7 linked regions of the Callithrix jacchus genome follow. The protein of the gene in region 1 interacts with the protein of each later gene in a biochemical or structural test. Links are inferred from orthologs where the notes say so. Each region holds a gene or a part of one and is shown in the gene's direction. Other genes may lie near its edges.

Region 1 (3,672 bases):
GCCTGAATTAAAGAGAAAGCCTCCTGTCCTTACAGACCTTTAGCTTCTATGACATACATAATGTATTTGAAAACAAATTGCTTTGCCCACACCATTTAACTATGGGCTTCTTCAACTGGAGAGATGAAAGCTATACAGTAATCATGTGAATAGCACTAAACAGCTGACATGGTGTAACTCCTCTCAGACTGTGGCTTATCTGGGGAGTACAAAGCATATCAAGAAAATGTGCCTTCATTTTTTTAGACGAGCACCTAAGGAAGAATATAACTAACCTGTCCCCATCCTCCACTTGCCTCCACTGTTATACTCTTTGCTTCTATGATATCAACTCTTTTTTTTCTTTAGATTCCACATAAGTGGGATCATGTGGTGTTTGCCTTTCTGTTTCTGGCTGATTTCACTGAACAAGAGAATTTTTGACATGACATTAAATTTCCGCTTATAAACCCAATTCAAATTATTTACATTGTCTTCTAAAACATTAACTTTCTAAAATAAATCTACTGAATGACCATATCACATTTTCTTTAATGAAAAGAAATTGTTAGGGTGCTCAATTGCCTCTTCATTTTCATACTGTCTAGCTCCTTTGCGCCTATCAAAATAACTGCAAATTTTGCTTTTTAAGAACACTTCTGTTTCACTACCTGAAGTTCTATAAAAAGATCCAAGTTCCTTCACAGCCATCTCTTATACTATTAATCATATATATGTGATAATACCGTGTCTGAACACATTGATAAGTATGGGCTGGGCGCAGTGGGTCATGCCTGTAAAGGAGGCTGAGGCGGGTGGATCACCTGAGGTCAGAAGTTTGAGATCTGCCTGACCAACATGGTGAAATGCTGTATCTACTAAAAATAAAAATATTTTTAAAAATTAGCCAAATGTGGTGGAGGGCACCTGTAATCCCAGCTACTCAGGAGGCTGAGGCAGGAGAATTGCTTGAACTTGAAAGGCGGAGGTTGCAGTGAGCCAAGATTATGTCATTGCACTCCAGCCTGGGCAACAAGAGTGAAACTTCGTCTCAAAAAAATAATAATAAAATAAAAAAGCTCAGAAGTATGTACTGTGTTGCTAAGAAGGTGTGATGGAAATAAACTTGCTGTGTGAGATCAAAGGACTGACACTGAATTGAAATAATGAAGTATTCATACTGAGTCTGGTTCAACTATAACTGCACCTGTAAGCGTTGCTTTCTCTAAACTTTCCTTAGGATAAAGCAAATCCAAATCACTCATGGCTTTACATTCCTGATCATTAAACTTGAAGCACTTTTAATACTGCATGATTATAGCAAAAACATCTTAGCCAAGATTCAGTGTTTGTTTGAACCACACTGACTTGGAAATCTTGGTTACTGTGTTTCTTCTGACCCCTCAGTTGTCTTTGGCATGTGTAAATACAGGTGTATAGAAGTTGATGGCTAGTGGAAGTGGAATGATTTTAAGTCAGTGTTACTCTACCACCCTTTAATCTGTTGTTGTTCTTGATTTGTACCAGTGGCTGAGAAGACCAAAGAGCAAGTGACAAATGTTGGAGGAGCAGTGGTGACGGGTGTGACAGCAGTAGCCCAGAAGACAGTGGAGGGAGCAGGGAACATTGCAGCAGCCACTGGCTTTGTCAAAAAGGACCACTTGGGCAAGGTATGGCTGTGTACACTTTGTGTTACATTTACAAGCTGGTGAGATCATGGTTCATTTTCATGTGAGGCCTGGAGGCGGGAGCAAGATGCTTACTGTGGGAAATGGCTACCTGACCCTCCCGTTGTGAAAAAGTGCTACCTTTATATAGGTCTTGTTTTCTTCAGGCATTAACCCAGATAAACGCCATGCAAATGGTACAATTATCATGATTTTTTCAATTTCTGGAAGAAAGCTAATGAAACAAACAATTTATTAAAATGCCAAAGGAACAGTGTGACATTTCAGAAAGAATGAGTGCTTTCATGTTAACTATAAGTCTTGAAATTTCTCTTCATTGGAATAACAAATCTCTTTGTGCCTAATTTCTTAATTTCCAAAATAGAGTTCTTTTACTTGATTTCTTTATAGTGACATCATCTCTTATTAAATGGCATATTTGCATATTACTTAACAGTTCATTACCAAATACATGTTTGTGGGAACTGAGAGACTTAAAACACATACCAATCAGAGATCATACTTTTGAGGTAAGTTTTAAAATTCTGAGAAGAATTTTGACTGAATTTTTTTTGACAAATATAGGACACAAATAAGATTTTACCAAAGATATTATAACTTTCATTTTAAATATGGAACTAATACAATATGAGGTTCCATATTTAAAATGGAACTAGCTCTAACCTATGTAAAATTGGTGTCCTCCTCACCTCTGGTGTGCCCAGTCTCCCTAGTCCCTTTCTTTTCTTTTCTTTTCTTTTCTTTTCTTTTCTTTTCTTTTCTTTCTTTCTTTCTTTCTTTCTTTCTTTCTTTCTTTCTTTCTTTCTTTCTTTCCTTCCTTCCTTCCTTCTCCTTCCTTCCTTCCTTCCTTCCTTCCTTCCTTCCTTCCTTCCTTCCCTCCCTCCCTCCCTCCCTCCCTCCTTCCCTCCTTCCCTCCTTCCCTCCTTCCCTCCTTCCCTCCTTCCCTCCTTCCCTCCTTCCCTCCTTCCCTCCTTCCCTCCTTCCCTCCTTCCCTCCTTCCCTCCTTCCCTCCTTCCCTCCTTCCCTCCTTCCTTCCTTCCTTCCTTCCTTCCTTCCTTCCTTCCTTCCTTCCTTCCTTCCTTCTGGTGTGCCCAGTCTCCCTAGTCTTTTTCTTTCCTTCCTTCCTTCCTTCCTTCCTTCCTTCCTTCCTTCCTTGCCAAAGTGTTCATCACCTTTAAATACAATAAATAATATGCTTACTTTAATGTATGTTGTTTATTTTATTTTTCCCTTCTAGAATGTAGGCACCATGAGAGTGAAATATATTTACATTTTTTACTGATAGTTCACAAGTGTCTAGGAGAGTTTCCAACTTGTACTAGACAATTTACAAACATTTATTAAATTAGGGAAGGAAGGAAGGAGATAAGTGAGTAAGCAGAATGACTTTTATTTCTGCGTCTTTTATAATCGTATGCTTAGTATAAGAACAGTGCTATTCAGCCATCCACTAGTTCCAACCAAAATGATTTTGGATGAATATCTTGAAAATTGTGAGAAAGAAGTTTTATTTGCTGGCAAACTATTCTGAGTTGTTTCCACTTCATGTAATCCTAGGTAGCAGTCTTACCTTGATAGCCCATTAAAGCACTTATAATAAAAAGGCAGAACAAAAATATCTGTGATATATTTAAATTTAGTACATGTAGTTACATGTCTATTGTCTGGTGTGATGAATGCTAATTATGGCAAATCCTGACTGGGCTTCTAGTGAAGTTCTTCAGCCAATGCTTGAATGCATTGTTGGTCATGATGGTACCCCTTTGTACAAAATATGCTTTTCAAATGATCTTATTAGGGATAATAATTTTAGTCCTGGTTTTCATCTAAAATTATAATTCTATTTATAGCTTTGTAAGATTTCACAAGGTAAGAGGGACCTCAGTTTAAATTAGTACACAATCAATTAACCAGTTTTGTGTCTCAGACCCTTTTCACAATCTAATAAAAGCTATGGACCCTCTTCCCAGAAAAAAGTGCACTCATATACACACATCAGAGGGCT
Region 2 (4,102 bases), on another chromosome or scaffold:
AACTTTATGACTGCGGCCCCCGACTCTGGCAGGAGTCAGAAGGCGGAGGTCAAGCGGTGCACAACCAGCTCAGGGGATTGGTGGCCACAGGCTGCTGAAGACATGGCCAAAAGCGGCCTCTCTGTGGGAGGCCAGGTCAGGATGCCTGGAGTGGTGGACCCTCCAGGAACCCCGCCCCACGACAAAGCCCCGCCCCCACGAAGACACGCCCCTAGGAGGCCCCGCCCACGAGGAAGCACCGCCCCACCGACGCCACTCCCTGAAGACCCGCCCTACGGAGGCCCCGCACACGAGGAGGCGGGGCCGCACCCCACCGGCAGCCTCTAGACTAACAGCCGTTCCAGCTCCCTTCGCGTCACGTGCTTCTCCGCTCGGCCCTTGATGGCCGCCAGCAACTCCTCCCGTTACCTGGAAAAGGGGGTGAGGGGAGGTCCGGCCACGGGGACACTCGCCCCACGGATCCCTTTATCTCTTACCAGTCTACCAACGGTCCACGGCTTCCAGCCGCTCTCGGGGGCCCGCGCGCGCTCGTAGCACCTTTCGGTGGCATTCCAGGATGGCAGCCCAGCAAGCCGCTGGGGTCCCCACAGCCCCAGAGCGCGTGGGAGGCCGCCATGTTACGTGGAGGGGAGGGGTCGGCTCTCAGGGGCGGAGCCTCTGCGGAAGGGGCCGGCTGCTGGGGGCGGGACCTCTGCAAACGGAGTCGACCCCCCCCCGAGGGCGGGGCCGGCTGCCAGGGGCGGAACCTCTGCAGACGGGGCTGACTGATGGGGGCGTGGCCGGGTGCTGGGGGCGGGGCCTCCGCCGATGGGGGTGGCTGCGGGGGCGGGGCCTCTGCCGATGGGCCAGGTGCTGGGAGTGGGGGCGGGTGCCGGGGGCGGGACCGCCGCAGATGCGGCCTGTTGTTGGGGGCGGGGCGGGCTGCTGGGGGCGGGACCTCTGCAGATGGGGTCTTTACGGGTTGGGGCAGGGGCGGAATCCCACGTGGGCGGGACAGGCTTTTAGGGAAGCACGCCCTCAGCGAACCAAGGCTGAGGCACCTCACGGAGAAAACCGGATATATGGGACGGCCGCCACCGAGGCCAGTTCTGGAGAGGCCTCGGCGGGGCGGGGCGGGGCTGGCCTCCGCGAATGCCGACCCTGAAAAACGCGGGGCCAGGGAACCGGAGCGTTCCTCGCAGCCAGCTACGTCGCGGGCCGACTGTCCCCGCCCAGGCTGGTTGGGCGCACGCGCGGCCCTACCCGCCCCCCGACGCCTGCGTCCCCGCCGATCCCGCCCCCGGCCGGAAGTTCCGGCGGCGGAGCTGGGCCGGGCCCGAGCTGATCGTGGGCTCGGGCTGCAGGGCTCGGGCTCGGGCTTCGGGTGCAGGGCCGTCAGGCGCGGAGCTTGGGAGCGCAGCCCAGGCCGTGCCGCTCGGCGCCATGAAGGGCAAGGAGGAGAAGGAGGGCGGCGCGCGGCTGGGCGCTGGCGGCGGAAGCCCGGAGAAGAGCCCGAGCGCGCAGGAGCTCAAGGAACAGGGCAACCGTCTGTTTGTGGGCCGAAAGTACCCGGAGGCGGCGGCCTGCTACGGCCGCGCGATCGTGAGTGCGCCCGCGTGGGGAAGGCGGCGACGGCGAGTCGGAGGGCCACGCCCGCGATCGGCCGGCCCCGCCGAGGGTCTGGCTCCTCCGCGGCGGGTATCCTGGGCTCCGAAAGCCCAGCATTGGTTCTCGATCCCAGCGCCAGGTGCCGGGGAACGAGGGTGGGATGCTAGATGGAGGCCGGCCGGGTGGGTGGGAGGCCAGGGTCCAAAGCTGGGACTCTCCAAAGATTTGGAAAACTCTACAGAACCAACCGGAGTGAGGTGTGTAGGCTCAGCCAGTAGTCCCGTGTCTGCAGATCCTTGGACCCAGAGGCTTTGGCTACTGAGAGGTCTAGGTTCTTGATCGTAGCCAGATCGCAGAAGCTGGGACGGGCCCTGGGACAGAGGGGGCGCGCTGAGCCTACGCCTGATGCGGCTGGCCCGGCCTTGGTCCCTAGACCCGGAACCCGCTGGTGGCCGTGTATTATACCAACCGGGCCCTGTGCTACCTGAAGATGCAGCAGCATGAGCAGGCCCTGGCCGACTGCCGGCGCGCCCTGGAGCTGGACGGGCAGTCTGTGAAGGCGCACTTCTTCTTGGGGCAGTGCCAGCTGGAGATGGAGAGCTATGATGAGGCCATCGCCAATTTGCAGCGAGGTTGGCCGACAAGCTGCCTGGGTGCGGGGCCCCTGGGACCAGGCGGTTGGACTGGCCAGCGTGACCGGAAGCCCTTGTTCCCCAGCCTACAGCCTGGCCAAGGAGCAGCGACTGAACTTTGGGGACGACATCCCCAGCGCTCTGCGAATCGCGAAGAAGAAGCGCTGGAACAGCATCGAGGAGCGGCGCATCCACCAGGAGAGTGAGCTGCACTCCTACCTTTCGAGGCTCATTGCGGCGGAGCGTGAGAGGTGGGACCCTTACCCCAGGCCGCGCTGTCTGGGGATAATTCTGAATAACCAACCGCCAACACGAATGTTTACTGAAAGTTTTACTGGCGAGCAGTGCATGTGGGGAAGAAGCCTGGATGTTAGCCCTGAGTCTGGGGTGTGGTCAGACATCTTCTGGCCAGGTCCGTCTCTGACGGGCTCCTGGTCATCCCCCAGGGAGCTGAAAGAGTGCCAGCAGAACCACGAGGGTGACGAGGACGACAGTCACGTCCGGGCCCAGCAGGCCTGCATTGAGGCCAAGCACGTGAGGGTGCCCCCATCCACATGTGGGTCTGTGTGTGTGCACACGTGGCACGGGAGCGTCCCCACCCTGCTGTGGGTCTGTGTGTCCCTGCCTCGTGTTGGGTCTGGGTACCACGGAGGAGGGAAGTGGGGTGTCCCTCCCAAGCACTGCTCAACTTTCCACAGGACAGATACATGGCGGACATGGATGAGCTCTTCTCTCAGGTGGATGAGAAGAGGAAGGTGAGTGCTGCTGTGGGTGGTAGGTCCTGGAGCAGCCCCTTCCCAGCCTCTGACCCTGTGCCCATGTGCCACAGAAGCGCGACATCCCTGACTACCTGTGTGGCAAGATCAGCTTTGAGCTGATGCGGGAGCCGTGCATCACACCCAGTGGCATCACTTACGACCGCAAGGACATCGAGGAGCACCTGCAGGTGAGGCTGGGGCCAGGGGGTGGGCAGGGCCAGCAGCAGGGTCCTAGGCTTGCTGAGCAGCCTCTGCCTCTTGTCACTGCAGCGTGTAGGCCATTTTGACCCTGTGACCCGGAGCCCCCTGACGCAGGAACAGCTCATTCCCAACCTGGCTATGAAGGAGGTCATTGATGCATTCATCTCTGAGAACGGCTGGGTGGAGGACTACTGAGCTCCTCGCCCTGCCCAGTGTCCTGGCCCCGGAGGGCCACGGGCAGAAGCCCCCAGCCCCTGTACATAGCTTGTGTCCCTGGCCACCCTTTCCCTTCCCCCCAGTTCTGCTGTTGGGCTCTGGACGGCTCCCCTCTCAGCATAGCTCTTGCTGGGCTGTGATCCTCCCCGTCCCCCATTCTGGGCTGGAAAAGCAGGTGAGGGTGGGCTGGGCTGCGGCCACCGTCTGTGTAATAAAATCCGTGAGCACAAGCTGGGGAAGAAGTGCTCTGTGTGACAGGAGTGCCTGCCGGCTGCCACGGCTAGCCAAGGAAGGTAGAGATGAAGACGCTGGTGTCAAGGTTGAGTGTGGCGTGCCACCAGCGGTCGGGGAAGTACAGCACCTGGTGAAGGAAGGGGGTGCAGCCGAGATCAGCTGCGGGCCTCTGACCTGGCCCGGTCCCTCCTGCCAGCCACTGACCTCACCAGCCTGGATGGTACACTCCAGGGGCCGTGCAGACGGCGGCAGGGCTGGGTATGTGTCCCGGAGCCAGGCCAGCGTGGTCTTGTTGGGGTGGAACTCTGGCGTCTTCTCAGGTGGGTAGAGGAACCAGCGCTGTGGGCAGGGGCAGCAGCGTCACCCTTGCCCACTTGGGTCATCCACCCAAGCCCCGACACCCACCCTGGGCTGACCTTACGGCCGTAGATCACCTCCGAGTACCCAGGCCCGTGCCAGTGGAAGGGCACCCCC
Region 3 (4,439 bases), on another chromosome or scaffold:
AAAAAAATTACCGTGTAGTTTGTTTTGTTTTTGAGACACAGTCTTACTCTGTCACCCAGCTGGAGTGCAGAGGCATGATCTTGGCTCACTGCAACCTCCATCTCCCAGGTTCAAGCGATTCTCCTCTCTCAGCCTCCTGAGTACCTAGGACTACAGGCGCCTGCCATCACGCCCAGCTAATTTTTGTATTTTTAGTAGAGATGGGGTTTCACCATGTTGGCCAGGATAGTCTTGATCTCTTGTCCTCGTGATACCCCCGCCTCAGCCTCCCAAAGTGCTGGGATTACAGGCGTGAGCCACCGTGCCCCTGGCTACCATATGGTTTTAAATGTTGTCAATTATGTTTTGCGACAGTTACCTCTGCTATATGTTAAGGTTAATATTGAGGTTTTCCATATGACCAACATATGATTCTTTTTTTTTTTTTCGTTTTTTTGGTGGGATTGGGAGGAGGGCTAGAACAGTTTTTTCACTCTTGTTAATTTTCTGTTGATTCCACCTATTACTAATCTTCATTATGGCAAGATACCCGGTTTTCTCATGAAGATCAAATGTGGTAGTGGGGCAATAATGCAAAGACAAAGGACGGTAGGAGGATTCCGGCTTCTTTTTTCCCCTCCTGAGCAAACAGGGTCTCTAACACTCCGTAGTAGAGAACACAGTTCTATTTATGAAGGGTAATTAGCTGGGCTTTGCTACAACCGAGAGCCCTGAACGATTCGATCAGCCCGATACGCGGGCTGCTTTTCTCTTCTTCTCCACCAGAGGCGATAGCCTCTTTCCAAACAGAAACTTGGTTGCAATAGGCCGGTCGGGGGGAGCGGCCAGAAGATCAAAGATTAAAAACCGCCTGAAACAGGCCGGGCGCGGTGGCTCATACCTATAATCCCAGCACTTTGGGAGGCCGAGGCGGGTGGATCACGAGGTCAAGAGATCGAGACCATCCTGGTCAACATGGTGAAACCCTGTCTCTACTAAAAGTACAAAAAAAAAAATTGGCTGGGCATAGTGGCGTGGGCCTGTAATCCCAGCTACTCGGGAGGCTGAGGCAGGAGAATTGCTTGAACCCAGGAGGCGGAGGCTGCGGTGAGCCGAGATCGCGCCATTGCACTCCAGCCTGGGTAACAAGAGTGAAACTCCGTCTCAAAAAAAAAAAAAAAAAAACCTCCTGAAACAAAGAGCAAAGGTCAATACCAAACTCCTAAGGAGGCCTGAAGCTTTTATCTGTTAGGAAACGGGAAGGTGACTTCTCCCTGACATCGGTGCCTGAGGCCACTCAGCCTTCCAGAGACCGGGCGGGTCCGGGCGGGTCCGTGGTAACAGGTAGCACCGGCTGAACAGCCGCCAACCGGAAGTGGAAGAGAGCCTGGGGCGGGGTGAGTACCAGCCGCGGCACGCCTGCGCAGTCAGCAGGAGTTACAGTGCTCATGCGCAGCTGGGCGGTGACGAGGTGACGCTTGGAGCGTGGGCCGCGACTCTCACGGATCCGGTTCCGCCCTCCCTCTGGCTGCAGATCCTCCGGAGCGAGCGCCCGAGATCCCTTTCCCAGAGTGCTCTGCGCCGTGAAGAAGCGGCTCCCGGGGACTGGGGGCATTTTGTGTTGGCTGGAGCTGGAGTAACAAGATGGCGTCGTCGGCGGAGTGACAGGGGTCCCTCCGGGCCGGAGCCAGCAGCAGTGCTGGCAGTGGTATCGCCGCCCTAGCTCACCGCGCCCCTTTTCCTGCCCGCGACGTCGCCGCTCAAGCAGGCATCGGCCGCCAACGAGAACAAGTGGCCCAGCCTGGTAGCCGCGAGAAGCCCTTCACAAAGTGCGGCCTGGCAAAAAGAAACCTGACTGAGCGGTGGTGATCAGGTTCCCCTCGGCTGATTCTGGGCCCCGAACGCCGGTAAAGGCCTCTGTGTTCCGTTTCCTGCTGCCTTCCTCCGTAGCCTTGCCCGGTGTAGGAGCTCGAGAGGTCTCCGTCTTCCCCTCAGAGGTGTCGGGGCTTGGCCCCAGCCTCCATCTTCGTCTCTCAGGATGGCGAGCAGCAGCGGCTCCAAGGCCGAATTCATTGTCGGAGGGAAATACAAACTGGTACGGAAGATCGGGTCTGGCTCCTTCGGGGACATCTATCTGGCGATCAACATCACCAACGGCGAGGTAATCACCTGGGGTAGGGTTGACGATAACGCTGGGCATTTCCTCATTCCCCGCCCCCACCACCGCGCACCCCTAAAGTGCTTGGGCCTCTCCCCACCGCACGCACTCGTCAGGGAGTCCAGAGAGCTAGTTTTCCTGGCTTTTGAACCTCCCCCGCTCTTTCCCTAAAAGGATCAAGAACCCGATAGAAAGGTTGGGGAAGGTTCCCAGCTTGTTAAACACGTCCCATAAATGTCCCTTAGTTGAACTTTTTTTTTTTTAACCGTTTTTTAAGGTGGAAACGGCAAAATCCTATTTCTGTGATTCCCATGCTTTTATTTTATTTTATTTTTAATTCTGCTGGCCTCTTATTCCAATTAGAACAGTTTCCGATCGCCTAGTTCCTTAAAAACCTCTCATTACGTTCAGAGGTTGCCTCTTTTTTTCTGGATGAATCATTTTCCTGCACTTTAGAAGAGGTAGGGATTTCGTCACTACCCCCTGAAGAGGCTGGTTGCCTCATTTTATAATTACAGAGAGCTTTCTCTTTCCAGTCTTTCGCTTTTTCCCTGTAGTCGCGACTTGGAGTTTTGCTAATGTCTCTCCCTCCTTTCCTAAGTGACATTGAATCCGTAGGGATGTTGATGCCATCATCCCTCTTTCCCCTGCAGGAAGTGGCAGTGAAGCTAGAATCTCAGAAGGCCAGGCATCCCCAGTTGCTGTACGAGAGCAAGCTCTATAAGATTCTTCAAGGTGGGGTTGGCATCCCCCACATACGGTAAGAACCCTGTGCATATAGGCGGTCTGCTGAGGGAAGCACGGAATGGGGAAGTGGGTAGAGGCAGGTAAGGAGACCAGCTGAATCCAGGTCTTGGTGTTTCAGTTACCTGGGTTCCCTACAGCTAGTGGCTTCCTGTAAGTCAGTTATCGCAATCACTGAGTAAATTTCAGTTTGCTAACTTAGTTTAAAATTTCATTGTATTACACTGTGTCCCATTTCGCTTCCGTCATTTCTCCCTCTTCCCGAGGCTTTCATTTGCAGTAAAGTGTGCAGGTCATCTTTGATCTCTACGCGGAAGGTTTGACTGCTGCCTTTTTTACGGCGGCATGTCTGGTGTTCAGAGGTTTGCTCAGTGAAGTGGATTTGAAGGTGGCGAAGCGACAGGGCAGTGTCATTTCGGGTTGCTATTGGAGCTGGCTTGGGAAATGGCTGCTCTTTTGTTGTGTTTTTGTTCCAACATGTCTTCCTCCTCCGCTTAGAAAATGGCGGAACGACGTGACTCAACCCCATATTCCTGCCCTTTTCTCAGCTTGGGTTCACAAATTATGCTTCCTTGATACCTCCTTCAGCAGCCCCAAGTGGTTTAAACCTTTGAAAAAGTCAAGAATAAAGCTGCAGGAGCCAGTGGGGTTCCAGGAAGGACATGGCATAGTGACAATGTTTGTGATCTCGTCAGCAGATATGATACGAAATTGTTGAATTATACTATGTAAAATCCTTTGTAGTTCTTTTAAAAGTGTTAATTACTCTTTCCTTTAGTGAATGGTCATGTTTGTCACTTTTCAGTCCAAACTAAATTTGTATAGATAGTGGCAGAGGCAGTTTGAGCACCACCATGTTAAAATTTACTCAGCTCAGTTTTATTAAAAGAGAGCTTAATCACTTAGCCACACTTTGATAAGTAATTTTAACCTGTTGAGTTTATCAGTAAATTTTAACATCAGAGAAATTGTGGCCTTTTTTGGTGTGGAATATTGGTGGATACAAATAGTGGTAATGAGGATACAAGGTGACGAGATAGAAATACATTGTTCCGTCAACTCTTGAGGGTTTTAGAGTAATGTTTTGACTTTAGGGATTAAAAGAGCCTCTTCATGGAATAGAGACTAAAATGTAGTTTAAAACCCAGCTGTTTTCCAGCGATAATAAAAAAAAATTTGCAAAAATTTTCAGAATAGTTGAGAATGGTATTTACTGTTTACTGGAGCCTCTTTTTTTGTTTTGTTGTTGTTGTTTTTGTTTTGAAATGGCGTTTTTGCTCTTGCCACCTAGGTTGGAGCGCAGTCACACGATCTCTGCTCACTGCAACCTGTGCCTCCCAGGTTCAAACGATTCTTGTGCCTCAGGCTCCAGAGTAGCTGGGACTACAGGCTGGTGCCACCACGCCCAGCTAATTTTTTGTATTTTTAGTAGAGACGGGGTTTCACCATCTTAGCCAGATGGTCTCCATCTCCTGGCCTCGTGACCTGCTCTCTCGGCCTCCCAAAGTGCCGGGATTACAGGTGTGAGCCGCCACGCCTGGCCTAATTTTTGTATTTT
Region 4 (3,710 bases), on another chromosome or scaffold:
AATTGCATGCTGTTGATCCCAGTTACCTGGCAGGTTACTGAAGGCCTTTTCTAATATTCCACAGGGCTTCACTCCGGACAGACTATCGTCTAGCTGTTGTCATACAGTTCCAGATTTTCACTTATCGAGCCCAGCTAAGAATTTCTTTAAGAAAGCAGCTGCTGCTCTTTTTGGTGGCAAAAAAGACAAAGCAAGATATATTGACACACATAGTAAGTTAATAACACTCCTTTTCCTTTTTTGTACACAATATCATATTTAAATTTGGTACATCAGTTAAAAGGGAATTTTATATTAATATAACTAGCCAGATTCACAGATTCTTAAATGTTGATATTTATAGCTTAATAAATCCACAACTTGAATTGTGATTGATAGCTTTTTATTTTACAAACATTAAAGAGGGATTTTTGGGGTAGTTGCAGCTAATGGCAAAGGTAAAATGCTATTTTGCCTTGGATGCTTATAAGCTGGTGAATAATGCAAGAATGAGGAAATGTGGCTAACCCTTTTCCTTCCTTGTTAAGATAGACTAATGTTTGTAATTTTATTCCTTGATATACAGATCGAGTGTCTAAAGAAGATGAAGACATCTACAAGCTTAGGCATGATTTGAAAAAGACTTCAATAACTCAGCAACCCAGCAAACACAGGACAGATGAGGTGGGTTGGAGAAGAGTAGATATTCATGCTTTACGTTATTTCCACTCTTTATGAATTAGCACTTGAACTCTGATTATCATGGCCATATTTACCTCAAGTTTTTCTTCAAACCCGTTGAAAGGGAAATTATTGGCTTTTAGTTTTATAGTGCATGCAAGTGAGTTACTGCTTTATCTTTTATCTGGCTTGTGTCCATTGGTTTTTGATAAGCTTTCACAGCAGCTGCCTCACCCTCGTCTTAATCTGGAATTCTCAGCCTTAAATATTTTTGATGCTTGACTCATTGCATAACTTTTCTTTCTTCCTAGGAGCTCCAGCCACCTACCACCACAGTTGTCAGGTCTGGAACACCCGCAGTAGAAAACAAGCAGCAGATTGGGGATGCTATTCGGATGATAGTCAGAGGGACTCTTGGTAGCTGCAGCAGCAGCAGTGAATGTAAGTAGTTGTCAATCTCATTTTAAATAATGAAACTCTAAATGCCAGTGCTAAATACATAATAATTTAAGTCAATTTACATTGTAGCTTAATTTCACATAGAAGTAGCAAGGTTATAGGAATTGGAAAATAATCCTAAGTTCTATGTCTTCAGAATTAATGGAGTGAAACTTAATATCTACCAAAGCCTGAGGTTTTAGTGCTAAAATATTGTTTACCTTAAAACATTTCTGTCTGACTGTTTTAGGCCTTGAAGACAGCACTATGGGAAGTGTTGCAGACACAGTGGCAAGAGTTCTTCGGGGATGTCTGGAAAACATGCCGGAAGCTGACTGCATTCCCAAAGAACAGCTGAGCACATCCTTTCAATGGGTCACCAAATGGGTTGATTACTCTAACAAATACGGCTTTGGGTACCAGCTCTCAGACCACACCGTGGGTGTCCTTTTCAACAATGGTGCTCATATGAGCCTCCTTCCAGACAAAAAGTAAGTGTATTGATTAATGAAATCCTGTCAGTTCTCTAGTTTTGGACTAAAGAAATGTAAAAACAGTGATTAACTACTTCTGTTTTTTTCCCTCTTTTCTCCCTGTCATTCCTGTTTTTATAGAACAGTTCACTATTACGCAGAGCTTGGCCAGTGCTCAGTTTTCTCAGCAACAGATGCTCCTGAGCAATTTATTAGTCAAGTGACGGTGCTGAAATACTTTTCTCATTACATGGAGGAGAACCTAATGGATGTAAGTTTTGCGGCTTTAGAGTGGTGTCATTTGAAGGGTAGTCCACAAACCAATAGCATCTGCATCACTTTGAAGTGTTAGAACTAGAGATTCGCCTGTCCTACCCCTGATTTACTGAATCAGAATCTCTGGGAGATGGAGGCAGGGATTTTCAAGGCCATTCTGATGCTTAAGTTTGAAAAGGTTTTCTTAGAATAAGAATAGAATACATGCTACAAAATCTTTGTAGGCACTAACTCACTCTCATCTCTTCCAGGGTGGAGATCTGCCTAGTGTTACTGATATTCGAAGACCTCGGCTCTACCTCCTTCAGTGGCTAAAATCTGATAAGGCCCTGATGATGCTCTTTAATGATGGCACCTTTCAGGTAAGTGAACTCTGCAGGACAGTGCACATTTAGGTCCTAAACAGAAAGATTTGTACCTAGGCAGTTTAGTAATTGACTGAACTTTTCTAATTCTTGACTATTTTGAGAGATCTAATGTCTTGTGTTTATTTTTTAAGGTGAATTTCTACCATGATCATACAAAAATAATCATCTGTAGCCAAAATGAAGAATACCTTCTCACTTATATCAATGAGGATAGGATATCTACAACTTTCAGATTGACAACTCTGCTGATGTCTGGCTGTTCATCAGAATTAAAAAATCGAATGGAATATGCCCTAAACATGCTCTTACAGAGATGTAACTAAAAGACTTTTTGAACAGACCCTATGGGACTCCTCTTTTCCACTGTGAGATCTACAGGGAAGCCAGTAGAATGATCTAGAGCATGTTGAAGAAGATGGACATGTGGTGGTACGAAAACAATTCCTTTGTGGCCTGCTGGACTGGGTGGAACCAGAACAGGCCAGGGCATCCAGTTCTTGACTTTGGATAATCCACGAGTGAACCAGAATGCAGTTTTCCTTGAGATACCTGTTTTAACAGGTTTTTTTAGAAAATTTTGCAGAAAGGTGCATTGATTCTTAAATTCTCTCTGTTGAGAGCATTTCAGCCAGAGGACTTGGAACTGTGAATATACTTCCTGAAGGGGAGGGAGAAGGGAGGAAGCTCCCATGTTGTTTAAAGGCTGTAATTGGAGCAGCTTTTGGCTGCGTAACTGTGAACTATGGCCATATATAATTTTTTTTTTCATTAATTTTTGAAGATACTTGTGGCTGGAAAAGTGCATTCCTTGTTAATAAACTTTTTATTTATTACAGCCCAAAGAGCAGTATTTATTATCAAAATGTCTTTTTTTTATGTTGATCATTTTAAACTGTTGGCAATAAAGAGTATGAAAAAGCAGAAATAATGGTCTCCTGTCTTTGGTAGAATTCATCACCACATTGTGGCATTTTTTGATAGGGTCATGCCAAGCAGTGCCAAGAAGCCATTGAGGATAGAAGCATACTAGAAATTCAGAGCTTCAATTTTTTTCTAACTGCAGTTTCTAGGATGTCTAATACCTGAAGTATAATCATAAATGTTCAGGGTAATCTAGCATAGGAACACCATTCTAGTTACGACCATAATATAAGCCTTCTACAAAATCCAAATCCAATTTCTCTCTGAAGTGTTTCTTCAAAACTTGCTTAGCTTGGAGATAAAGCCAGAGTGAACAGATGTCTGTTATTAAGTGTCAATAGGTACAGGAAGTTTATCTTAATATGGGCAAAACTCTGAATTAGAATGTGTGCACCAGCTAAACATGTTACTCAGCATAAACCTGCCTAAACACTTCCAGTGCCGCAGGCAGTACTAGCACTTAATTCCAGTAGTGAGGAATACTTTGTGAATAAGTCATTTTATATTCCTTCTGGTGCATGGTAGTTGAGGAGTGGTATGGGAACCACCTTACAGTTTGGGCCCATCTTTTAAA
Region 5 (3,672 bases), on another chromosome or scaffold:
AGGTGATCCACCCATCTTGGCCTCCCAAAGTGCTGGGATTACAGGCATGAGCCACTGTGCCTGACTGTAACATCTTCTAATTATTTATTTTCTGACACTGATGCTAAGTGTCCGCCATTTCCTGTGACTCTCTAATATATACAAATTACCACTTGTTATTATATAAAACAAGTTCAAATGAGAATAAGAGGAAAAAGCAAAAATCTGGTCTTTGTGTATTTTTATAATTTGAATAGTTAAGATCATTATTTTAACTAAAACATAATCTTGGTGATTGGTATCTATTAAAGAAATTAATGCTGATAACACCTCACCCTTGGCAACAGTTTCACCTGTAATAGTTCCTTTTAAGTGTTTAGCAAAATATTTATTTTCTCTTGTTGCCATATCTCTTGTTGAGAAAATTTTTAACACTGAAAAGTCTAGAAGATAATGTAGCAGATACACATATTCTTTATTCAGAATTACCATCATTAATAAGTTACCATATTAATTCCTAGAAATTTTATTTTTAAAAATAAAGTCTTGGCCGGGTGCAGTGGCTCAAGTCTGTAATCCCAGCACTTTGGGAGGCCGAGGCGAGTGGATCACGAGGTCAAGAGATCGAGACCATCCTGGTCAACATGGTGAAACCCCATCTCTACTAAAAATACAAAAAATTAGCTGGGCATGGTGGTGTGTGCCTGTAATTCCAGCTACTCAGGAGGCTGAGGCAGGAGAATTGCCTGAATCCAGGAGGCGGAGGTTGCGGTGAGCCGAGATAGTGCCATTGCACTCCAGCCTGGGTAATGAGCAAAACTCCATCTCAAAATAAAATAAAATAAAATAAAGTCTTAAAGATTAACCTAAATTTCTTTTAGCCAAGCTCTTGGTTCCGTTCCCCAGGGGGAACCACAGTCTTGAATTTGTTGTGTATTCTTCTAGCATATTTTATATACTTAAAGAGCTTAGAAAATGTAAATTAAAATATGCTGGGTGCAGTGGCTCACACCCATAATCCCAGCACTTTGGGAGGGTGAGGTGGGCAGATCACAAGGTCAGGAATTCGAGGCCAGCCTGACCAACATGGTGAAACCCTGTCTCTACTAAAAATATAAAAATTAGCTGGTTGTGGTGGCACGTGCCTGGATCCCAGCTACTCGGGAGGCTGAGGCAAGAGAATTGCTTGAACCCAGGAGTCACAGGTTGCAGTGAGCAGAGACTGCACCATTGCACTCCAGCCTGGACAACACAGTGAGACTCCATCTCAAAAAAAAAAAGTAAAATATTGTTTATATGCCTGTGTTTCTAATTTTGCAACGAGGGAACACTCATTTTATAGAATGAGGTGCTGCTCGATTAAAAAAAACCCTTTTTTTAATTGATGTTGTGGCCCCATAAGTCTACATCTTTTTTTGCTTAACACTGTTTTAAAGCTCTGTGTTGTTATTTATAGATGCAGTGTATTTCTCTTAACTACTAATATTCCATCATATGACTATATTACATTTCAATTTCGACTTCTGTGGTAGATATTTGTCATTCATTTTGTCTGCCTGACATTTGAATCTACTTCTCTGTATGAGGAACCCCCCATCCTATAAGTTTTGGGAGAATAAAGACAACCTCCTACTATAGGCACCATAACTCCACTTGCAGCTAGGGCTTGAGCTTGTGGACCTTGCTCCCTCAGTCAGATGCACCCACAGCAGACTGTTAACTGCTATCTCACTGCTTGAGAATTAGTTGAGAAATTATAAATTATTATTAAAATCAAGTTTGACAAAATAGCTTATTGGAAAAATGTTATTAAATGTACTGCATTATTAAAATGTTGGGAAAATATTAATATGCCATAACTACATTTGAAAAAGAACCTCAAATGTTTAGAGTCTCTTTAAAGGAGGATGTGTATTGCATTTGCAGGTTAAGTTACCTTTTTAACTGCTGCTATTTGTGAGTTCTCTATAAAATATTATAATATGATTTCATAAATATGCTAGGCCACAGTGGAGACCAGTCAGCTGACATCAAGCCAGAGTTCTGCTGGCCCTCAGTCACAAGCTTCCACAAGTGATTCAGGCCAGCAGGTGACCCAGCCGTCTGAAACTGAGCAAGGATTCCTTCCTAAAGGCTGGGAAGTCCGGCATGCACCAAATGGGAGGCCTTTCTTTATTGACCACAACACTAAAACCACCACCTGGGTAACTCTGATACTCTTCCATTTAAATTTATAACAACAATAATCATCTCTTATGTATAGTTCCTTATCATCTTTAAGTGTATATTAGTATAACCTATGTTTTCTAGGATTCATTGAAAAATATATTGAATTCTTAATAATATTATTTATATTCAGGAACACACTTACCCCTCTTTTTAATATTGTTTTGGATTATGATGGAGATACTCATGTTTACTTCCTGTTTCCAGTTGTTAGCCCACTAGCCATAAATGCTTAGGAAGATATGTAGGAATAATCCTTTGCTTTTATATGAGGCTTTCTAGCTCCAAAAAACTTTTGAATCCATATCTCAATATCAGAAAACCTTGCGAGGCTAGGTAGAGCAAGTTTTTTTTTTAAGGTAAGGCTTCAAGTTGTTTAGTGCTTGGCTTACCACTAGAAAAATTGCTCAAAATTAGCAGCAGATGAATAAATTTTAATTAATTATTAAAAGACCAGCACACCTTATTAATAATATTAAAGTAAAAATATATGTAAATTAAACCAAATACATTGAATTTTGTTCACATTTTTAACATTCTGAATTGACCATTAATAACCTCTTTGGGCTTACCTTCCTGTTATTCAAAAATATGAATCAACTTGAACAGATAGCTGCCAAAATGCATGTTCTGGGACTTAGAAATATCACGTGGTCCAATTTAATGCCCCACTCTTTTACCAGTTTTTACGTAGAGAAAACCCCTATAGAGTGACACATTTCCTAAAGAGCAGGCAAAGAGGTGACCAGTTAGCGGTGATCCCTGAGAACTGATCCTTATTCCTTTTGATATTATAGCCTGAGAGTGATAGATTTCAGGAGAAAATATTATGTCACATATTTAGGAAATAAAACACGAAAGGACTTTTACAAGAGAATATTTCAAACGTCCATTGATATTGGAAAACATGGTAATAGACTGACTTTCATTATTTTGAAATGTGTGTGTGTTGTTCTTTATTTACTCTACCACAAAAGGAAGATCCAAGATTGAAAATTCCAGCCCATCTGAGAGGAAAGACAGCACTTGATACTTCCAGTGATCTCGGGCCTTTACCTGTAAGTGTATAGAAATGCTAACCTCTCTTACTTGGCTATCTCAAATATTTTGTATTTTGGGATAGAGTAGTTCTTTATCAGCCTAATTAATCTTATTATTAAAATGTTGATACCTTCTAAGAATGGAATGGAATATGCAATTTAAATTAACCATACAATCAGTGCTATTTTTCTATCCATACATCTAAAACCCTATCCTAAAATAATTGAAATACATTCTTCATTATAGCCAGGATGGGAAGAGAGAACTCACACAGATGGAAGAATCTTCTACATAAATCACAGTATGTTCAATGTGATTTTTCATTATGTTATTTTTTATAATAAATTTTATATGTGAGAAAGAGCATCTTTTTTCTTTTTCTACCCTTCAGATATAAAAAGAACACAATGGGAAGATCCTCGGTTG
Region 6 (4,280 bases), on another chromosome or scaffold:
CTCTCGCGAGAGTGAACTATTCAGTAGGCGCCTTGAGAGGGAGTGTGTACTTTGGATGATGAGAAAGTGTTGCAAGAATTAACGCTCTCATTCCTGAATCCCAGCACAACCTCGTTAGATCCCTAAATGGGAACGTAGGCTTATGAAGATGTTTTTTCTAGAATAAACTACCACAACACTTGAGCTGATTATACCTTAGGGTGTTTACATATCCCTCTCCACAGGTCAGAAGCTGTACCCTAAGAAAATCAACTACTCTCATCTTTGAACCAGAAGCTTCCCTGGACCCACCCATACACCCCAGTGGGCTTCTAACCATTCCTACTTTCCCTCCTACCTGCCCCCAACCCAGGCTGTATCATCTGTGGTGATCGTCTTGAAGAACCAAGGAGGAAAATTGCACCAGAAAAAAAAATTGAGTCATTAAAGGTGTGAAAAGATTACATATAATTTATTCAGAAGCTAAGTGTTTTACAGGAGATGAGTTTGCACCTTCCACGTGAACTACACTTTTCATAGTTGCCCCAGCGGGCCCGTCTGATGCTTGATAAACCCACTCTAGGCAGGTGGGACTTGCTGTCTGGATCCCGGCTGTATAAAGAACAATGAGTATGGATTTCTTGAAAAAGACAAATATAAATTCACGGATGTCTTTATTCCTCCTTCGCCTAGGAATTAAATTCATTCTTCCTAAAGTTCAAATAGTTATCGCCTCTTTGAGGCTTTTACAACTCCCAGAGCGCTCTAGTAGCCCTCTCTGTGTTACAACTCTGTCTTTATTCATTCGCAAGTATTTGTTGAACACTTTTTATTTACGAGGCAAAGTCCTGGGTTCTAGGCATACATGGTTGAAAAGGTACACGTAATCTAGCATTGTCACGTTGCTTTGAAATTCAGTGGCTGTGTGTCTCACACTCCACCCTCTCGCTCAGTCGCAATGAATACTTGTTACACTGAAGGCAGGAATGAAGTCTTCATATTTCTATGCCCAGGAACTGAACTGGAATCTGATGACACTTGTTTCACGACTCCTCCTTACACTGCCACCACCTGAATAAGGCAACTGCCCTGTGCCCAGATGCTGACTGTGCTTTCTGATGTAGCAAATAGACGTTTTCAAGCACAGTCTCGGGAGGTGGAAAGGTCAGTCCTTTGGCCCCTGAAACTCCAATGAGTCAATGTTTAATGCAGCCACGAGTCTAGTCACAAGTAGGATTGTTTTTGACTGGTCCTTTGACTCACCGACCATTCCTGGCATTCATTTGCGTTGTGAGCTATGATTCTGTTTCTCCTGGTGTAGTCTGGGTATAGTGTGGAAGCCCCGATTTAATAATTTCCGACCTCATTAAGTGCCAGGTCACATTCCAATCTCCACGGCTTCATTCAGGAACTCCTTCCCCCGCCCTCTTCTTTGAGCATATATGCTACCTCACTCGCTCTACAGGTAGCAAGACCCGTTGTCCTTTAGGAATACGGAGGTTTACATCTTCGTTCTGAGGGTGGGGAAAAAAAATTGTTATCACTTTAAAAGTGTTCGCGCTTGCTAAGGTGCTAAGGCAGAAGCAGAGCTCGAAGCGTCGCGAGAACTGGAACCACGCGCAACTTCTCGCGATGTTTGGCCCCGCTAAAGGTCGCCATTTTGGAGTCCACCCGGCTCCTGGTTGTCCCGGCGGCGACTCTCAACCTGCTGCCGGGACCAAAGCTGGCCCCGAGGGTGTCTGGCCTGTGGGCAGCCGGACCGACACGATGTGGCGGCTCCGCTGCAAGGCCAAGGACGGCACCCATGTTTTGCAGGGGCTGTCCAGCCGGACCAGGGTGTGGGAACTCCAGGGCCAAATTGCCGCCATCACCGGGATCGCCCCCGGCGGTCAGCGAATCCTCGTCGGATACCCTCCCGAGTGCCTGGATCTCAGCAATGGGGATACCATTCTGGAGGACTTGCCCATCCAATCTGGTAAGGAATCAGGGCTGGGGCCAGTAAAGTCTCGGGAGGACGGAGAGGGGCGTGAGAGAGAATAGAAAGCTAGTTACGGTGGCTGTGGGTCAACTGGGGCTTTGAGACCAGGGGTGAGGATAGATCAAAGAACAGAGAACTCTGACGCAAGCCGGGGCAAGTGTCTAGCAACTCCTGGTCTTTACACAGGCTTGAAAAGCAACCCACAGCCTTGAAGTCCCCCTTACCCAATCCGCTTTCTGGTCGGCTTTGAAACTATCTGATTTTGTTTTCCCTCGGCGTTCACAAAAATAAAAAGAAGTAGGGCCTCTTTTCTCTGTCCTTATTTATGTCTCTTTTTCCCTATATCATCGATCAGGTCTTAAGGGTGCAGGATTTTTTTTTTTTCTTGGTTCATTTTTGCGGTCGCCTTCATAGATACTTCGTTTGATAGGCATATTCATTTTAGAGTTAGCTTTTAGACACCCACTGAAAGCCCTTTCAAGTTCTAACCAGGAGCAGTTTATTTCTGTGCCATATTAAAACTTGAACATCAGTGTTGATAATTAAAAGCTTCCAGTTGTATCAAGGACGCTGTAAACACTCGATAGAGTAGATAATTTTCCGGAGAAGGAGAACCCCCTAGCGGCCTACTTTGTAGTGAGCACCTTCTGTAAGATACTGTATAAGGAAATGAAATTTTGTTTTTGAATATATCTTTTTAAGTAAGCCTCAAGTTGTATACTCTAGACCCCTTGACTAAATTGGGGTGCAATCTGAAGTGTTTTTTGTTCTTTGTTCTTTTTTCATCTTTATGAAAATTCAGTGAATAAAAATTGTTACTGGTCACTTATTTGCAAAGCTGTATTCTTCTTAGTAACCCCAGTTTATGCTTTAACTCCTTCAGTTTGTAATTTACAGACGTGGCTAGTGAACACTTCAGTTTCTTCTGTAATTTCTCTGCAGTTCTGAATTCTTTTTTTTTTTTTAACAGGTGACATGCTGATCGTTGAAGAAGACCAAACCAGGCCCAAAAGTTCACCTTCACTTACTAAACATGGTGCTTCTAGTTACGTCAGGGAAACTTTGCCTGTGCTTGCCAGAACCGTGGTCCCAGCAGACAACTCTTGCCTCTTTACCAGTGTGTACTATGTCGTTGAAGGAGGAGTCTTGAATCCAGCTTGTGCTCCTGAGATGAGACGCCTCATAGCACAAATTGTAGCAAGTGATCCAGACTTCTATAGTGAGGCAATACTGGGAAAAACAAATCAAGAGTACTGTGACTGGATCAAAAGGGATGACACTTGGGGAGGAGCAATAGAGATATCGATTTTGTCCAAGTTTTACCAATGTGAAATATGTGTAGTGGATACACAGACAGTAAGAATTGATCGTTTTGGGGAAGATGCAGGATATACCAAAAGGGTTCTGCTTATTTATGACGGCATCCACTATGATCCACTTCAGCGGAACTTCCCCGATCCAGACACACCTCCTCTGACCATTTTCTCCTCTAATGATGATATCGTTCTCGTACAAGCACTGGAACTAGCAGATGAAGCTAGGAAAAGGAGACAGTTTACTGATGTCAACCGCTTCACCCTGAGATGCATGGTATGTCAGAAAGGATTAACTGGACAAGCAGAAGCAAGGGAACATGCCAAGGAGACAGGCCATACCAACTTTGGAGAAGTGTGATCTCTGCATGAATGAGGGTTGAAGCCTACTACCTCACAGATCCAGAAGGCTCTGGGTTTTCCAATAAGCTATTGTAACCCTAAAGAACAAAAGGACACAATGCTTGAACCATCCTTTTAACTTAAAACCACTAAGACACTGAAATTCCTTGTTAAGATTAAAATTAGTGTGCAAGTTTACAGATGTGTGTCTACAATGGTAGACTGTACATACATGCCTCTTTCTGCTGGAGTGACAGAGGTGATCCTTGCCACCTACTGACACTGACCTGAAGATTGAGATTTAGTATTATAAACTAGCACCCAGCAGCTTTAACTTTTAGAAGAAAACATCACATTCTGGGTAATGTGGAAGGCCTGTGAGGCCACTGGACATTTACCAGTGTCTCCAGTAACTGAGTCGTTTTAAAAACTGAATGAGTTAAGTTTCTAAATTATGAATTGATTCATCAAATGAAGATACTCAGAATTGTCCAAACTGATTTTATATTGCAATTTGGTAGACTTTATAAATGTGTGCTTAACCACTGATAAGTACATCACAAGCAATTTTTACAGGGATGAGTTTCCCTTGAGAATGTTATCACAAAACAGGAACTGATTGTGCCCTGTTTAAGATATCTAGTGTATAAAAAGTAGAATGTATGAGG
Region 7 (4,100 bases), on another chromosome or scaffold:
ATCCACATCAAGCCATTTAAAAAATAGGAATTTAGTACCTACATGTGCAATATATTTGGGGTCCAGAGAGAGGAGGGCAACTGTCCAAGGTCACACCTGCGAGGTGAATACGCATGTAAAGTAGCACCCTGTAACCTGTTCTCCCTGTGCCTATTATTAAAGAGAAAAAAATGAGAGAAAAAGGCTTTTTTTGTTTTTGTTTGGCCCAGGTCCCGTGCCTGGGACCAAAGCCTGAGCCCTCGCCTGCAGTCGGGGTCGCTGACCCAAGCCTGGGGCAAAGCTAGGTCTTGGCCAGCCAGCAACCTACCACGTGAAGCAGCCCCCACCAACCCACCATTCCCGGCAGCCTTGTTTCCTCCTCCTTGGGGTCCTCAGCCCACCTCCGTCGGCCCTGCTCCAGCAACTAAGTACCCCTAGTCTGAACTTCAGTCGTGAGGCGGGGCAGCCCCCTCCTCACCTACTGTAGACACTCCCCGTCCCCCGCTCCCCGGACTAGTTTGGGCGGGAAGAGCCTGCCTCATCTTTTCTTCCTACCCTCCTACCCAGTGGCTAGGGACCCCAGGCTTCCTCTGAGACATCCACCAGCGAGCGGGGTGATGGGGTGGGACTAACCTCCCTCACTCCCCACCACCCGAGCAGCAGGGTCCCCGCTCTTGGCATTGCCCCAGCATCTGCACTAGCTCCCTCTGATTTCCCAACCCCAGCCCATTCCAAGTGCTGAAGGCGGGTCGCTCGGTGCTGGGGCCTGGGCGCGGGGAGAGACCTTGGGCTGTGTGGGGTGCTGGCTGGTTTACTGGGATCACGATTGCGGGGGGTGGTCTGGGGCTTAGGTGTGGGGTCGGGCTGCAGTGTGTCCTTACTAAGGAGAGTTTGGGGGCGGCTGTGGGAGGCTGTGGTCAGAGGCGGGTGGCGGTGGGTTTGGGGAGGCCGCAACAGTCCACCTTGGGGTCCCTCGAGTGGTGAAGGAGCTACCCCGGCGCTGGGGCTCCAGGCCCGCGGCCCCGCCCGGCACGACCCCAACACGGCAGCGCCCCGCCCCCGGCCCCGCTCCCGATGCGTCTCCCGCGGAGCCCCGCCCCCGCCTGCAGTGCCCGGATGCGGGTGACGCGCGGCCGCCATCTTCCCGTCCCGGGCAGCCAGCGCCAGTCGGAGCCAGCGCGAGCCGCTGCCGCCATCACTGCCGCTGCCAAGTCCTCCGCCCGCTGCCCCCGCCATGTGAGTCGGCTGCCCGCCACCCCCGCCGCGCTTCCCCGCGCCGGCCGCCGCCCTTGGCAACCGGCCTCGGGGAGTGCCCGGGGTCTCGTCCGCGTCCCCCGCGTTCCCCACGACCCGGGGCCAGGCCCAAGCCGGTGACTGCGCGCAGGCGGCCGAGGAGCCCCGCGTCCCGGGCTGGCCGGCTCGGGCGACGGCCGCGGGAAGGAGCTGACTCGGTGTCTTCCTGCCCCGCCCCGCCCCTGTCGCCGCGGCCGCCTGTCTTTTCGGGTCGACCCCTATCGCATCTATGAGGTCGCCCTCATTTGACAGGCGGGGAAACTGAGGCCGGGGGAAGGGGGGCTCGCTCAAGGTCACGCAGCCATTGGTGGCGGGGCTGGACCGAGACCAGGGCTTTCATCGGGTGGCCTTCCTCCCGAAAAGGAGGACTGGAGGGACGAGGATGGACAGGTGGATGGGCGGAGCCCTGGCTGTGGGGCCGGGAGGCTCCAGGCCCTGGATCTTAATCCGTCCCTGCTCCTCAGGTCTGCTACTGCTGCCACGGCCCCCCCTGCCGCCCCAGCTGGGGAGGGTGGCCCCCCTGCGCCCCCTCCAAACCTCACTAGTAACAGGAGACTGCAGCAGACCCAGGCCCAGGTGGATGAGGTGAGTGTGGGGGAAGTCAAAGGCAGCAGGAAAGACCCTGGGGATTGGCATATAGGTGTAGGGGCCCATGTTGGTTTGGGAGTGATGACATTTCACACCTGTGGGTTTGCGGACAAAGATACCATGCCCCATCCCTGTCTCCCTGTCAGCACGCACCTGGAAGGGCACTAGGGATGTTAATCAGCTTTGCTAGCCTGGGGTGTGCCAGCCTGGGCAGGTGTGCTCTGGTGATGGACAGAGCGCCTGGGGCTCCATAGAGAGAGGGTGTTGCTGTGACATCTGAGATGTCAGCAGCATGCCCCTGATGTGTGCTCCTTGCATGTCCCCAGGTGTGCTAGGCATGTTCTGTGTGTCCTTGGCATGTTAACCTGGCGCATCAGGGTGCATGTTCCATGCATGGCATGGTGGGCACATGTTTGAGGATTGCCCTCACTGAGGTGGGCCTTGGCACACCCCCCTGCCTCGTGGGCCCCTCTCCCAGGTGGTGGACATCATGAGGGTGAACGTGGACAAGGTCCTGGAGCGAGACCAGAAGCTATCTGAGCTGGATGACCGTGCAGACGCGCTCCAGGCAGGGGCCTCCCAGTTTGAAACAAGTGCAGCCAAGCTCAAGCGCAAGTATTGGTGGAAAAACCTCAAGGTAAGGGTGGGGACAGATAGGGGACTGGCAGGTGAATGGAGTATCATGATTCGTCTCACTGATCCTTCCCTCTCATCCCCAGATGATGATCATCTTGGGAGTGATTTGCGCCATCATCCTCATCATCATCATAGGTGAGTAGGGTGGGAATGGCCGGGGAGGTTCCCCCAGTAGATTCTGGGTTTTAAAGGTCATTAACCTAGTTTTACTCTTCAGCCAAAAACAGTCGTAGCTGCTAATGGCAATTCTGATTCATCTAGAGCCAAAAACTTTGATGTTATTTAGCTTGCAGTTTGCCTGGTTCTGGACAGTTTTTGTTAACATTTGGAAAAAGGAAAGGTGATGTATCCATTAAGGACCCTTTGGGCCTAAGAGCCCAGTCCAAGAACCCTGAAACTGATGAGTGGGAGAAAGGAAAGGCCCAGGGGCTTGAGACATGACCAGGAAGACAACCACCCCATGATTTGAGAACTTGTGGTCTCAGAGGCTCAGAGGATTAGCATCTGTGGCCTCATGGCCATACCATGGAGTTGAAGGGACCTCAGAACCTACCTGTCTAGCCCCCTGCTTTGTAGATGGAGAAACTGAGGCCAAGAGAGGGGAAGGGGTGTCAACCCGCTGGGGAGTGGGGAGGATTGGAGCAGGGCCAGGCCTGACACACTGCTTTCTTTTTTTCTCTCTCTCTCTCTTTCTCTCCTCCTCCCCTCTCCTCCTTCCTTATCTTCTTCCTCTCTCTCCACAGTTTACTTCAGCACTTAAATCCCCGAGGAGTCTGCCCTGCCTAGAGAAGGGCCTCTCCCCCCACCCTCAGCCGTTCCTCCACCTCTCAGCCATATCTTTCAGTCCCCCTCCCCTGGATCCGTGTGTGTCTGTGTGTCCCCCTGTAAATAGCCAGCTGTTATTTATACATATATAATATTATATATATTTGGTCTGTTTGTAGTTTTATTACTAGAAGATTTTTCCGGTTGTCCTTAACACCCCTTCCTGAGGTTCCCTTCACCTCCTCTCTCTTGCCTTCCTTTCCTTTCCCTTTCTTCCTGACTAGCCCCAAGTCCCTTCATTTGCATCTGCTATGCAATAGTCCCTCTCCTCTCCTCCTCCTTCCCTCAGATTTAGCTGATCCATCCTCCCACCCTGGCCTTCCTTTCCTCCTCCCTCTCCCCTTCATGCTCCCTGTGCTCCGCCCTCAAAAAAAAAAAATGAAAAGCACCTGTCCGGGCTTCCTTAGGTGCATCTTTTTTGCATCCATTAGGAGGCTCTGAGACTGGCCCCACTTGGTCCTAAGAATCCCAAGGTCTTTGGGAGCGTCCAGCATGTTAATTAGTGTATCATTGCATACTGCAGTCTCTTTCCATTTCTTTTTGTTCTATCACTCTTCTCTTAACCTGTGTTTCTTTTTTTCACTGAGGAGTTAGTCCCCATTAATACTTGTATTACATTTTTGTTTGCACGACATTACTTGCAGTTGGTGGGAGCCTGGGCTTTTGGGGAACCAGGCTGCTCTGGCCCCCAGCATTGCCTCCTCCTAGCCCTCTAGTCCAGTTTGCCTACCTTACCCTCATTTTCCAAACCTCTTGTACCCCCCTCTCCCTCCCCCAGC

What was found.
Region 2: the proteins of SNCA (region 1) and STUB1 form a complex in vitro, tested with the Homo sapiens proteins (2 studies listed by BioGRID, with this or other methods). The link is inferred for Callithrix jacchus from reciprocal best matches to the Homo sapiens genes SNCA and STUB1.
Region 3: of the proteins of SNCA (region 1) and CSNK1A1, one has a biochemical effect on the other in vitro, tested with the Homo sapiens proteins (3 studies listed by BioGRID). The link is inferred for Callithrix jacchus from reciprocal best matches to the Homo sapiens genes SNCA and CSNK1A1.
Region 4: of the proteins of SNCA (region 1) and PLK2, one has a biochemical effect on the other in vitro, tested with the Homo sapiens proteins (2 studies listed by BioGRID). The link is inferred for Callithrix jacchus from reciprocal best matches to the Homo sapiens genes SNCA and PLK2.
Region 5: of the proteins of SNCA (region 1) and NEDD4, one has a biochemical effect on the other in vitro, tested with the Homo sapiens proteins (3 studies listed by BioGRID). The link is inferred for Callithrix jacchus from reciprocal best matches to the Homo sapiens genes SNCA and NEDD4.
Region 6: the proteins of SNCA (region 1) and YOD1 form a complex in vitro, tested with the Homo sapiens proteins (2 studies listed by BioGRID, with this or other methods). The link is inferred for Callithrix jacchus from reciprocal best matches to the Homo sapiens genes SNCA and YOD1.
Region 7: the proteins of SNCA (region 1) and VAMP2 form a complex in vitro, tested with the Homo sapiens proteins (3 studies listed by BioGRID and IntAct). The link is inferred for Callithrix jacchus from reciprocal best matches to the Homo sapiens genes SNCA and VAMP2.

What each region holds. Positions count from the first base shown.
Region 1 is NC_133504.1:107,752,555-107,756,226, forward strand, and holds part of SNCA (alpha-synuclein), read left to right. Parts: intron 1-1,506; coding exon 1,507-1,649; intron 1,650-3,672. UniProt on the Homo sapiens protein: Neuronal protein that plays several roles in synaptic activity such as regulation of synaptic vesicle trafficking and subsequent neurotransmitter release.
Region 2 is NC_133513.1:2,940,287-2,944,388, forward strand, and holds STUB1 (E3 ubiquitin-protein ligase CHIP), read left to right. Parts: upstream 1-1,300; 5' UTR 1,301-1,422; coding exon 1,423-1,581; exon of another isoform or gene 1,582-1,726; intron 1,727-2,020; coding exon 2,021-2,219; intron 2,220-2,304; coding exon 2,305-2,470; intron 2,471-2,537; exon of another isoform or gene 2,538-2,665; coding exon 2,666-2,753; exon of another isoform or gene 2,754-2,917; coding exon 2,918-2,974; exon of another isoform or gene 2,975-3,048; coding exon 3,049-3,165; exon of another isoform or gene 3,166-3,225; coding exon of another isoform or gene 3,226-3,247; coding exon 3,248-3,373; 3' UTR 3,374-3,624; downstream 3,625-4,102. Other genes in the region: JMJD8 (jmjC domain-containing protein 8), read right to left, coding at 3,675-3,755, 3,833-3,967, 4,045-4,102. UniProt on the Homo sapiens protein: E3 ubiquitin-protein ligase which targets misfolded chaperone substrates towards proteasomal degradation.
Region 3 is NC_133503.1:48,239,590-48,244,028, reverse strand, and holds the start of CSNK1A1 (casein kinase I), read left to right. Parts: upstream 1-1,509; 5' UTR 1,510-2,017; coding exon 2,018-2,140; intron 2,141-2,790; coding exon 2,791-2,897; intron 2,898-4,439.
Region 4 is NC_133503.1:151,413,875-151,417,584, forward strand, and holds the end of PLK2 (serine/threonine-protein kinase PLK2), read left to right. Parts: intron 1-64; coding exon 65-212; intron 213-565; coding exon 566-663; intron 664-971; coding exon 972-1,101; intron 1,102-1,348; coding exon 1,349-1,589; intron 1,590-1,712; coding exon 1,713-1,842; intron 1,843-2,098; coding exon 2,099-2,209; intron 2,210-2,346; coding exon 2,347-2,538; 3' UTR 2,539-3,140; downstream 3,141-3,710.
Region 5 is NC_133509.1:43,627,933-43,631,604, reverse strand, and holds part of NEDD4 (E3 ubiquitin-protein ligase NEDD4), read left to right. Parts: intron 1-1,982; coding exon 1,983-2,183; intron 2,184-3,182; coding exon 3,183-3,263; intron 3,264-3,492; coding exon 3,493-3,547; intron 3,548-3,637; coding exon 3,638-3,672. UniProt on the Homo sapiens protein: E3 ubiquitin-protein ligase which accepts ubiquitin from an E2 ubiquitin-conjugating enzyme in the form of a thioester and then directly transfers the ubiquitin to targeted substrates. Specifically ubiquitinates 'Lys-63' in target proteins.
Region 6 is NC_133520.1:34,559,616-34,563,895, reverse strand, and holds the start of YOD1 (ubiquitin thioesterase OTU1), read left to right. Parts: upstream 1-1,446; 5' UTR 1,447-1,611; coding exon 1,612-1,954; intron 1,955-2,927; coding exon 2,928-3,631; 3' UTR 3,632-4,280. UniProt on the Homo sapiens protein: Hydrolase that can remove conjugated ubiquitin from proteins and participates in endoplasmic reticulum-associated degradation (ERAD) for misfolded lumenal proteins.
Region 7 is NC_133506.1:74,637,025-74,641,124, reverse strand, and holds the start of VAMP2 (vesicle-associated membrane protein 2), read left to right. Parts: upstream 1-1,144; 5' UTR 1,145-1,213; coding exon 1,214-1,215; intron 1,216-1,736; coding exon 1,737-1,857; intron 1,858-2,338; coding exon 2,339-2,497; intron 2,498-2,579; coding exon 2,580-2,631; intron 2,632-3,239; coding exon 3,240-3,256; 3' UTR 3,257-4,100. UniProt on the Homo sapiens protein: Involved in the targeting and/or fusion of transport vesicles to their target membrane. Major SNARE protein of synaptic vesicles which mediates fusion of synaptic vesicles to release neurotransmitters.